3 linked regions of the Tamandua tetradactyla genome follow. The protein of the gene in region 2 interacts with the protein of the main gene of each other region in a pairwise test. Links are inferred from orthologs where the notes say so. Each region holds a gene or a part of one and is shown on either strand. Other genes may lie near its edges.

Region 1 (3,749 bases), on a different chromosome or scaffold from region 2:
TCCAACCCAGACTACTCTGACTAAATGTTTCTGACACCTCAGACCCTCCATATCCAAAGCCAGACTCATCATGACCTTACTCTCCAAACCTGTTTCTCATTCTCCAGGTTTCCTTTACTCCATGAAATGTACGTAGTCCACCCAGCCACTCAAATCAGAAACTTGTCATCTTTTCCCTTCCCCTCTGCAGTCAAATAATCTCCATGATCCTAATCTACCCCTTCCTTTCCATGGCTATTGCCACTGCCCTAGTTCAGACCTCATTTTCTGGACAAAAACAGTCCTCTTATCAGTATTCTCCCTCCAGTCCATGCTGATTATTTTTTTATGTTTCTAGCTAGTAAACCCCAACCTATCACTCACCTTAGAATCTGCCTATGAATTTGTATCAGCTACTATTTCATAGTCTGACTGGAAATATCTCTTCTGCTGGGTTTCTATCCATAGAAAATTAGGAAACAAAGGTAAATAGGTTTCTTTTTTAGTGGTTCTTGACTTTATCCAAGCCTTTAATACATTAATAAGTGTCCCGACTCTTAAGTGGGAGCTGAAGAAAAGAGCTTTTCTTAATTTGACTAGTGAAGCTTTTTCTTCACTGAACAGATAACAGAACTAGTCTTCCAAAACATTCATTCTGGCAAATGGTGGTCTAAACGTTAAAATTAAAGGCACATAAGGCCTTCCATATCTTAGTGTTTTGGGTCAAGAGGTGCCACACCCCCACTCCAGCTTAATTCTCTATGACAACCTCCCCACATAACACACACAAACAGCCTTACTCCAACACTGAGTTTTCTGCCATTTTCCAAATGTAACACACTATCTCCTCATACCACATAACTCCTCATACCACATAACTTAGGCAGGTGTTGCTCTAGTTTACCCTTTCTCATCTTTTAAGATCCAGCCCATCACCATCTCCCCTAAGAAACCTTTTCCTTAGTCTCATGTTCTCCCAACCACCCAGAGCTCCTTTCTATCACCCTCTGTTGTAACTGTCTATTTCTCTGTCTGGATCCCTCAGTAGATACTAAACTTTCATGTGAGAAATGACTCAGCCTGAAGTCATTTCCAAGGCTACAGAATGAATATAAAAATCATACTATGCAACAGGCCCCATCTGCTGGGCCCCTTATTCTTATATGACCCTTTACAGAAGCCTAACGTGTAGCTCTTCTGGTAGCCTCTAGCCACATCTGGATACTGAGCACTTAAAATGTGGCTAGGCCAAATTGAGATGTGCTAAAATTGTAAAACACACGCCACGTTTCAAAAGGTTAATACTAAAAAAAAAAAAGGGGGAGTAAAATTTCTTAATACTGTTTCATTTGACAGAAATATTTTTAATATTCTGAGTTGAATAAAATATATTATTAACTTCAACTGCTTCTTTATATTTTATTAATGTGGCTGCTAAAAATTTTAAATGACAAGATTTGGCTCACATATACTTCTACTGGACACCGCTGGAGTAAATACTTATATACTCATTTTAGGAACTAAGAAACCGAGTCCCAGAGAATTGGAATGATTTGTCCAGAGAATATGAGTCAGTGGCATGGCCAACATGATACTCGAACCCAAGATTCTAACTCTAAGCCTTTATTCATTCCACCTCGCACTCCGGTACAAAATGACAATTGCCCAGGAGAAAGTGCCGACTTTTCCAGGAGTGAGCGGCTCTTCTCCACGCTTCCACATAAACACGTCCGAACGCCTCACATTCACTCACCATTGCGGATGAAGTACTCCTCTACGGCACCCCCCAGCCACTCAGCCTTCTCCTGGCTGTGCACGCCCCCGAAGCCATTCTCCACGGCGATCTGCAAACACAGGCCCGATCCCACCACGTCAGCAAGGGCGCCGGCCTGGAGTGGGGTGGGGGCTCGCCACTTACACCGCCCAGCTAAACCTCGGGCGCCTCGCCTGGCCGACTCCTGTTCTGCCCCAAGCCCTAATCTTTATCCCATCCTGGCCTCACTCACCTGCAAGGCCGGCCAGGCCTCCAACGCCGCGCGAATGCCGGCCGCAAAAAGTGTTCGCGAATCCTCCCTACCACCAGCCATCACCTTGGGACCACGTGATACCCAGGCCGCCCAATGTCTTCCGCGCCGGCCCAGGCAGAATGAGCGGAAGGCCGATGCGGAAACTAGAAAGTTGCTTTTCCGCTGACCTGGCAACAAGGCTAGAACAATAGAAAAGCCTATCAGAGCGAATGATGACAAACCACGTTACTCCCCAGTGATAATTAACTAGAAGAATGCCAGGAGTGGAGGATGGTTGGGGCTAGCTTCCCGGCTGGTGGATACTGTGCAGGGAGGCTTTATTAAAGATACAGATTCCGGGGTCCCAGGGCAGAGGAATCAACCTCTAGGAGCTCAGCCTAAGGAATTTACATTTTTAAAAAAGTCTTAACATCTGTAGGATACTGTGCTCAACAACAGCAGAATATGCATATTTCTGAAGGGCACATGGAACATTCTCCAGGGTAGACCGTAAGCTAGAGCTTAAGCAGCCCTAATAAATTTTAAAAGATTGAAATCATACAAAGTATGTGCTCCCACCACAATGGAATGAAATTAGAACCCAATAACAGAAAGGAATTTGGAAAATTCACAAATATGTGGAAATTAACATAGTCCTAAATAACCCGTGGATCAAAGAAGAAATCACAAGGGAAAGTATACCTTGAGATGAATGAAATAAAAACCACACATAACAAAACTTACGGGATGGTAGATAAAGCAATGCCTAGAGGGGAATTTATTTTATTGTTGTAAATATCCATATTAAAAGAGGAAAAAGATTTCAAATCAATAACCCTAATCATCCACCTTAGGAAACTAGAAAAAGAAAGTAAACACAAACAAGAAGGAAATTATAAAGATTGAAGTAGAAATAAACGAACGGACAATAGAATAAGAAAACAGAAAATCAATGAAACCATAAGTTGGTTCTTTGAAAATTTCAACAAAATTTGCAAACTTTTAGCTAGTCTCACCAAGGAAAAAAAAGAGAGGAGATTCAAACTACCAAAATCAGGAACGATAAGAAAGAGATTGCTACCAACCCTAAAAGAATAAAAGGGAATACTATGAACAACTGTATGCCAACAAAATAGGTAATTTATAGGAAATGGACAAATTCCTAGAAATACCAAAATACCAAAACTAACTCAAGAGGAAATGGAAAATCTGAATAGACATATAACAAATAAATACTGAGTTAGTAATTTTAAAAACTTCTGACAAAGAAAAACTGAGGCAGAAATGGATTCACTGGTGAATTGTACCAAACATACTGCAAGAGTGGTTCAAGTATGAAAACCAATTATTATCATGCACTATATAAATAGAATAGAAGAGGAGAAACCTATATGACCATGAAAATAGATGAAGAAAAAGCATTTGATAAAATCAAACACCCTTTCATGATAAAAACAATCAACAACTAGAACGAGAAAGGAACGTTTTTAACTCGTTAAAGAGCATTTATAAAAAAAACCACAGCTAAAATAACTTGAAATGATGAAAGACCAAATACCTCCCCCCAAGATCAGGAACAAGACAAGGGTGGGTGATCTCATCACTTCTGTTCAATATTGCACTGGAGTTCTAGCCAGGCCAATTAGGCAAGAAAAAGAAATACAAAGTAGCCAGAATAGAAGGGAAGAAGTAAATCATCTCTATTTGCAGATAACATGATCTCGTATATAGAACATTCTAAAGAATCCACCAACACATACCCAA
Region 2 (3,749 bases):
GATGAGGGAGAGGAAAGTTTAGAATTTGGCCCCTGAATAACTCAAACTGAATCAAATGTATCCCTAGATGGAGACCAGCTCCTTTACCTCCTCACGGACACAGAATGATACATTTATCATTATGTCTTCTTTGCTCTAACACTTCTCTCACTAAATAGTCTTCTGATATGAAATTTGGTTTCCTGAATGGATATCACCACTAGGAAAGGAAGGTCCATTATGGGCAAGTGATCTATTTAAATATCGCATGTAAATCACTTTCCTGTGAAGTGGTTAGCAAAAACCTGGAGATGAAAAATCTGAATTATCAAATCTGCCAGGTTGAGGCCCATACCCAAGAACAAGAGAGCACCTGCAGAACCATAATCTATTCATCCTTTTAGCATGATTGCAATATCCAGGACTGGGGTGCCAGGGTAATGAGAGATGAGTATCCATCAGCAGCAGTGGCTCTCTTGTCCTGGAAGTCAATGTATGGCCTCAGCAGTCACTTGTAAGTCCAGTGGGCAGTGGCCCAGCCCTGGCCCTTGCATAGGTCCCGATGGCGAAGGAAATAGGCATGGACTCGGAACCGACGACCACAGTGGGGACAGGCATACAGCGCTCCAGCATGGGTCTTCATGTGCTCTGTCAGATGGTGCTTCAGTTTAAAGCGCTTGTTGCAGATGCCACAGCCAAAGGGCCTAAGGCTGAAGGTCAGCATGATGTGCCGGTCACGCTTTGGCTTCACTGCAAACCGTTTCCCACACAAGCAACCAAAGCATTTTCCATCTGCAGGGGGTGCTCCCCCTAGCTTCACAGGCCCATGTACAGCCTGTCCTGCTCCCCCAGGTCCTCCACCTCTTGACAGGATTTCATTCCCATGAAGATCCACTGGTTTCCAGGATGGGCTCCCTCCCCCAGATGCTGTCCCTGCTCCTGAGGGCAGTAAGAACCCTAGCTCCCTGTCCCCTTCAGGGAACACTTTGGTCTCCTCTTTTGCTCCTCCAGACTGAGTTCCACCTCCTGATACCTCCTCCTTAGGCTCAAAAGGTTCCTGCTTAATGTAGAAGATTTTGGGGGGCAGCACAGTAGGAGGGGCAGGAGGCTCAGTCGGTGCACTCTCACCCTCTGGAAGCCTGTGTGGAGTAACAGCTATGGGCAGTGGGTGGGATCCATGAGAGTGGGGAAACCCCCCTGATACTCTCTGAGGTTGAGTCTGAGAGAGTGCTGCTGATCCCTGGTCCTCATCTTCTTCTTCCTCTTCTTCCTCCTCCTCTTCCTTCACTTGAATCTGTAACACCTCTCCCAGTTCACTTCCCTCCCCTCCCACAGGGCTATCTGTAGAAGCAGTGGACTGCACCATGGTCTGGAAAGGAGGAGAACGAATGCACCAGCCTCCTGGAGAGGATGTGGTGGAAAGAAGGGTGTGGTAGGGGGTCACTCCATGGCCTGAAATTCCATTACCTGAGGTTTCTAGTTCTCTAAGAATCTCTGAGCACTGATCTACTACTTGCCACATCTGGAGTCCACTGGCCACAAGGAGGTGGGCAGGGAGGGCATGGAGTGGCAGATGGAGGCGCCCTGAGTAAATGAGCTGGAGCAGCCCCTCAAAGGCATCTGCTTCAATGACACTAGGCAAGGTGAGGCGTGGTGCATCCCCCAGAAGCAGCTTGTCATGGAAGTAAGGAGAAGCAGCAGCCAACACTGCTTTGTGGGCCCTAAGTTCTCGACCCTGTACCATGAGGGACACATCACAGAACTTCCCTTCCAGTCGGTGTCGATTCAGGGATTCCAGCAGCGACGAGCTATGCTGAGGGAACTCGATCTGGATTGTCCGTGGGGCTGGGTTGAAGATCGGGGAGGTAGGCACAGGAGGCCAAGGCGTCGATGTATCCATGGCCTCCTCGAAAAGAGAGATCCTAGAGGATCAGGAAGAGGAGATGGGGACTGGGGATAGACCCCAGGGCGGATACAGGCTGTGGAGAAACGAGATGGAAGTTACAGAAGCCCTGGATAAGGGGAACCACGTCTTCTCAAACAACCGCCCCCCCCCCCAAATTTGGAAACTTTTCCATCAGCGGTGGTTTCCGCAGATCAGTTCTGCGCCCTTCCCCACCAATAAAACAAAAACAAAACACCATCACCAAGCAAAAACCGGGGTTTTAACTTCCAGAGCCCGCGGAAACTGAGGAGGAGGAAGTCCCTGACCTCACCTGTTCCGGACCACTCCTACCCCGCTTCTCCGTTCCCCCTCACGATGCTCCAGAGAAGGGCTGCCGGGAGGCCACCGTCACCGAGAGACCGCAGGGCACCACCAGACTGCCTTCCCCGCCGACACGCCCCCGCCGTTGAACACTCAGGGTAGACACCCCAGCACCTCCCCAGCTCCAGCGCCTTCCCGGGCCGGAAGCCACCGCCTTCCCGCTGGACGCCGACGCCGGGCGGGACTAGAGCCGCAGCCGGAGCCGCAGCCAATCGGAGGCCGGTAGTCTACAAGCTTGTGGTTGATTGGCTGCCCAGGTGAGAAAGGCGTTGCTTGGAGCTTGGAGCCTGGAGCCCGGGCGTTTTGGGGGACAGCGGGATGCTGCTGACCTCTCCGCCACTCCGGGAGGTCGGGAAGCCAGGAACGAAGGGGCGAACTGTAAGTCGTCCCGGAAAGCTGCGTTTCCCGGCTAGTAAGTGTAGCGCCCGCCTCTCCCCCGCCGGTAGGTGCCCATGGGGGCGAGGCTAATTGAGCGCCTGCTGTGGGCCAGCACCTTCCCTCATCACCTCGCATCCACCCAACAGCCCCGCAAAGTAGGCATTGCGGTCCTCAGCTTCCAGGAGAGGAAAACCGAAGCTAAGTCTCTCGCCTGATAAATGGTGGGCCTGGGATGGGAACCCATATTTGCTAACGAACCAGACTTTCCTCGTATGGCATAGGAGTATTATAACCGACAATTAAACCTTATTTGCAAGAATTACCTTTTGAAATTAGATATATGTAGATATAGACTTGGAATCCTTTAGATAATGCCGCTCTATCCCGGCCTCTTCGCTTCTTTCCTAAGTGGAGCAGTGGGTGCGGGGAGAGCTAGACTGAGGAGATTTGGCTTGTCCCTGCAAAACCCCTGCTCTCGATAACAGCATGGAATAAATCTCCTCGCTGGTTTGGGAGTGATATTTTTTGAGGGCTGTAGCATCACGGAGGGGTAGATGGCCATTCTCCCAGGCTGTCAGCCTACTTTAAAAATGAAGATCGCACTGGTCGGTCTGGAGGTCCCAGCCTATGAAAGGCACCACAGCGATAAAAGAACGATCTCCGTTTATTAAACATGATTTTTCTGTTTCACCACACACTCCAGAAAAAAAGGAAATGAGGCTGGGAGTTGAGAAAAAGGGACAGTGGTGGGAGTTAGAGAAGTTTGGGAGTTGGATTGGGAGGGAGAACGAGAAAACAAAATAAAACAGGTAGGAAGAGCAGCTCCCTACCCTTGGTGGGTTGGGTGGGGACAAAAGGGAGGGCCAGGAAGCTCTGTACAGAGGAGTTGCCCCCAGCCCACACACACACACACACCCCGGATATGTACAGTACAAACCCCAGATAATTACAACAGCCAAAGAGGAGAGGAAGAAAGAGGTCCAGGGGTAGGGGCCTGAGGTGGGGAAAGCAGAGGAAAGGGCACAGGGATAAAATTTCACATATTTACAACTTTTATATAAGTATAAATTTGGCCCCGGCTAGGTGTTTATGTGTAGGGGGATGGGACTGAAGGGAACTGTCCATA
Region 3 (3,749 bases), on a different chromosome or scaffold from region 2:
TCCAAACCATTATCACTCTCCTCAAGACCCCTACTCAGTCCCTATCTTTCGGTCTTAACAATTACCCTTGCCTTCTACTTTATTTTCTATAATCTCTACCTCTTCCCCCTCCCTAGCCCCAATTTTTACAAACACACCCATCCTTGCTTCATTCTCTGTGATCCCAAGTATAAGGTGCTCCTTCTCCTATTCAAAGGTCAATTGTTTCACCTCTGTCCTGGACCCCATTATCTCCTAAATCTCACTCCACCATACCTTCACCTAACTCTACTGGCTCTTTCATCTTAGACTCACTCCCAAGTTTTCTCCATTCTGAAGAAACAAAGTAAAGCTTTCCCTTTATCCTTTGTCCTCCTCTATCTACTATCCAACTTCCATGTTTTTTAAATGAAAACTTTCCAGAAAAGTCTACACTGCCTGTCTCTGCCTTACTACTTCCCAGTCAGTCCTATAATCACTGCAATCTGGCTCCTACATTCCCCATCCATAGAAACCAACTGCTCTTGCCTAAGGCCACCTCCCATTTCCAAAATTAAATAGAGGTTTTTAGGGTTCTCATCTGATTTGGCCTCTTTGCTGTGCTAGATAGGCCATATCTTCTTTCTTGAAGCTTTCTGGTCTCTCTGGCCTCTGGGACACCACTCTACTGCATTCCTTGTACCTGGTTGCCTCTTTCTCTGCCTGCTCCAGGATCACAGCCTCTGCCCTCTGCTTTTCTTATTCTGTAAACTCTCCATGGTAATCTCATACACTCTCATATATCATCTATATGTTAAAAACTCCTCAAACTACATGTATAGCTTATACCTCTCCTTTGGACTCAAATATCCAACTACCTCCTGACAAAGTCTCTACTTAGATATCCCACAGACACCCCAAATTTAACATATCTAAAAGCAAACTCATCAACTTCAACCCTGCTCTAGTATTCTTGATTTTTGTTTGCAGAACTAGCATCAAGTTAGAAATCCAATCCAGAAAACTGAAAACTATCCCTGGTCCCTCCCCATTGCCATCCAATAAGTCACCAGTCTAACCTATTTCACATCCTAAATATTTATAGAATTTGTTTTCTTCTCTATTTCAGTCACTACCTTAGCTCAGGCTACCCTCATCTCTCACCAGGACCATTGCTGCCATCTCCTCACTCTTAACCACTGCTCTTTGCACTGTGTATGATTTAATTTCTGTCACTATCTTCATTCTCACTACTCACCATCTGTCCTGAGTTTTTGCTCCAGCAACACTGTAAGGCACACACCAGACTGTTTCTCATCTCAGTGCTTCTCCTGATGAACCCTCTGTCAGGAAGGCTCTGCCTTACCCTCTACCGCCTATTTGGGCCTGCCTAACTAAGCACTTCCTTAGTTTTCATAATATCCCGTACGCATCTCTCAGCACTGCATTCAGCACAATACTTTATGATTACTATGCGTCTTCCTTCCCCACTATTTTGGGAGATAAGATTATTATTTTTTTGCAGAACAAATAAGTCTTATTTATTTTTTTAAAACTTGGTATTTCCATATCTGCGAGCAGTATAATAAATTTACAATTACGTTAGGAAACATTTCCCCATATATTTCTATCTCATTTTCTTAATACATTTCAGAGCTATTATATTTAAATCTATAGAAGTTAATGAAGCTCCTTGATGTATTTTCCCCTTTTCAAACTATGGAGCAGCCCCAATCCCAATCAATGCTTCTAATTAGTCTCCTCTCTATATTGCTTCATCTGCCTCTTTTTTCCCCCCATGTGTCTTATTTTTATATCCTCAGCGTTTAGCATGGCGCTTGACACATTTCTGTTCAATGGATGAATGAGCCTTTTCCCGATGATAGGCACATCATTCCGTAAGCATTAGAGGGAACTTTACGGAACGCGATCAATGCGGACTCGGGTTGATTGCTGACTTCTGATAAGATTACATTTAGAGCCCCAATAACCCCTTGATATAGTCTCCTGTCATCACCTCCGAGGAACCATCTTCATCGGCTTCTATTACCTATCAGGACAGTACCTGCATCGTACCCCAAGTGTTTCTACAACTCCAGAAGGCCCTCCCGCCACTTGTCTTCTCAGCCTCACTGGTGCCGCTCCGGACACAATCTATGGCAGCTCTACGGGTCCTCGGCCACTAGCTGCCTTTGTCCCGACGGACCTTGGGGTTTGCATGTCCGCTCCCTCCACTCGCTCCTCACACGCCCAGATTCTCCCTTTTTGGTCTGGCCGCTCTACCTTTCCCTCCTTTTCCAGAACCGCTTTTTCCTTTCGGCGGCATCTTCGAAACTTGCTGATGAACTCTCGACCGTTCAGGTTGCCGTACAAAGCCCCTTAGGACCTCATGGGCATGTCCTAAACAATGCCGGAAAGCAGCATCGCAATTGGCCATTTTTATCGCGGCTCCGGAAACAGGCACAGCCTAGGGCAGGCCCAGTCCTTTGGCCCTCTGACCAATGAGCCTGAAGAGGTCTGACCAATGAGAAGCTTGGATCCGAGTAGGGGGCGGACCCAAAAGTAGAATCGTGGCAGGCAAACTCCGCCTTGGCGATTTTTGTTATGTCTTTCTCACAGCTTTGTTTGCATCAGTTTCCTCGCTCCCCCGCCCCCCATCTCCCCGCCGGAGTAGTGAAGCAGCAGTCCCTAAGCGCCAGGTATGGGTTGTACGGTGAGGCTGCCAGACAAAACGAGAGCGAGAAGAGGCAACGTGGTAGTCCCCTTGTCCCACTCGCTGTCACACAAAGACCTACCCTCCCTTGAGGTTTTTCGGTTTTCAGTTTTAGTTTGCAGCTGTAGCCGATTGGGTCCAAAAGGTAATTTTTCAAAAAGTCTATCACCCTTGCAGAACTCTGTAATGGAGAAAAATTGGAAACAGTCTAAACGTCCCTCAGTAGGGTTCTGCTTAAATAAATGTTTCAGCCATACAAAATGATACCACGTGCCATTTAAAATAGTGATTGTAAGGTAGTGTGTACAGATATGCCCTTAAGGAAGGTACAGACCAAGTTATAGAATATGATTCCGTTTTTTTTAAAGTATGTAATGTACTATATAATACCTGCATATAAAAGACAGAAAGGTTCTACAGCAAAATATGACCAGTGGTGCTAGTACAGAGATGGTTGTATATTCTTCTGTGTATTTTTCAACCTTTCTATAATGGTGCAGCATAATGTAGAAGTGAAGCTGGACAACCCTGGGAGTTCTCAGAAGAATCGAGACCTCAGCCAAGGGCTTGCGCATGAGGGTTCTTGACTCAGTCTCAGGAAAGAATGTAAGGACTAGTCAATGTGTACAGACAAATAGTTTAATAAGTTCGATGCCGGAGCACCCCGGGAAATTCGTAGAGAAATCTAGACCCTGAGCAAGGGCTGATGCCGTGAAGGTTCTTGACTCAGCAGCATGAAAGAACTTGAGGACTAGTCAGTATGTACAGCCAAAGAATCCAAAGACTAGCCAGTGGTTAAACGTTAATGCTCAGCAAAGGTACCTGCTTGAAGATGAGCGCAGGCATTTTCCAAAGGATAAGCAGTTTGAGGTCGAGATCCTTGCATTGTAAGATCTTGGAGGGGCCCTTCCCCCTTTGGCTATGCTAATAAGGGATTGATGAGATGCACTTTTCATCTGTTCTTTTCAGGTGCCCACCTAAGTGAGGGCTAGGTATGTGCGCACTAAAAGGAACTTTTTGTTATGGGGCTTAGGATCACGTCCCCCTTCCTCCTTCCCTATCTAACCAGCTTCAGAAG

Evidence for each region.
Region 1: the proteins of ZBTB9 (region 2) and TSR2 interact in binary tests that used the Homo sapiens proteins (3 or more experiments, as listed by UniProt). The two-hybrid records come from large-scale screens. The link is inferred for Tamandua tetradactyla from reciprocal best matches to the Homo sapiens genes ZBTB9 and TSR2.
Region 3: the proteins of ZBTB9 (region 2) and PIN4 interact in binary tests that used the Homo sapiens proteins (3 or more experiments, as listed by UniProt). The two-hybrid records come from large-scale screens. The link is inferred for Tamandua tetradactyla from reciprocal best matches to the Homo sapiens genes ZBTB9 and PIN4.

What each region holds. Positions count from the first base shown.
Region 1 is NC_135353.1:114,273,141-114,276,889, forward strand, and holds the start of TSR2 (pre-rRNA-processing protein TSR2 homolog), read right to left. Parts: upstream 2,107-3,749; 5' UTR 2,067-2,106; coding exon 1,986-2,066; intron 1,824-1,985; coding exon 1,733-1,823; intron 1-1,732. UniProt on the Homo sapiens protein: May be involved in 20S pre-rRNA processing.
Region 2 is NC_135331.1:89,435,981-89,439,729, reverse strand, and holds the start of ZBTB9 (zinc finger and BTB domain-containing protein 9), read right to left. Parts: upstream 2,380-3,749; 5' UTR 2,196-2,379; intron 1,959-2,195; 5' UTR 1,880-1,958; coding exon 488-1,879; 3' UTR 1-487. UniProt on the Homo sapiens protein: May be involved in transcriptional regulation.
Region 3 is NC_135353.1:99,189,493-99,193,241, forward strand, and holds the start of PIN4 (peptidyl-prolyl cis-trans isomerase NIMA-interacting 4), read right to left. Parts: upstream 2,374-3,749; 5' UTR 2,285-2,373; coding exon 2,242-2,284; intron 1-2,241.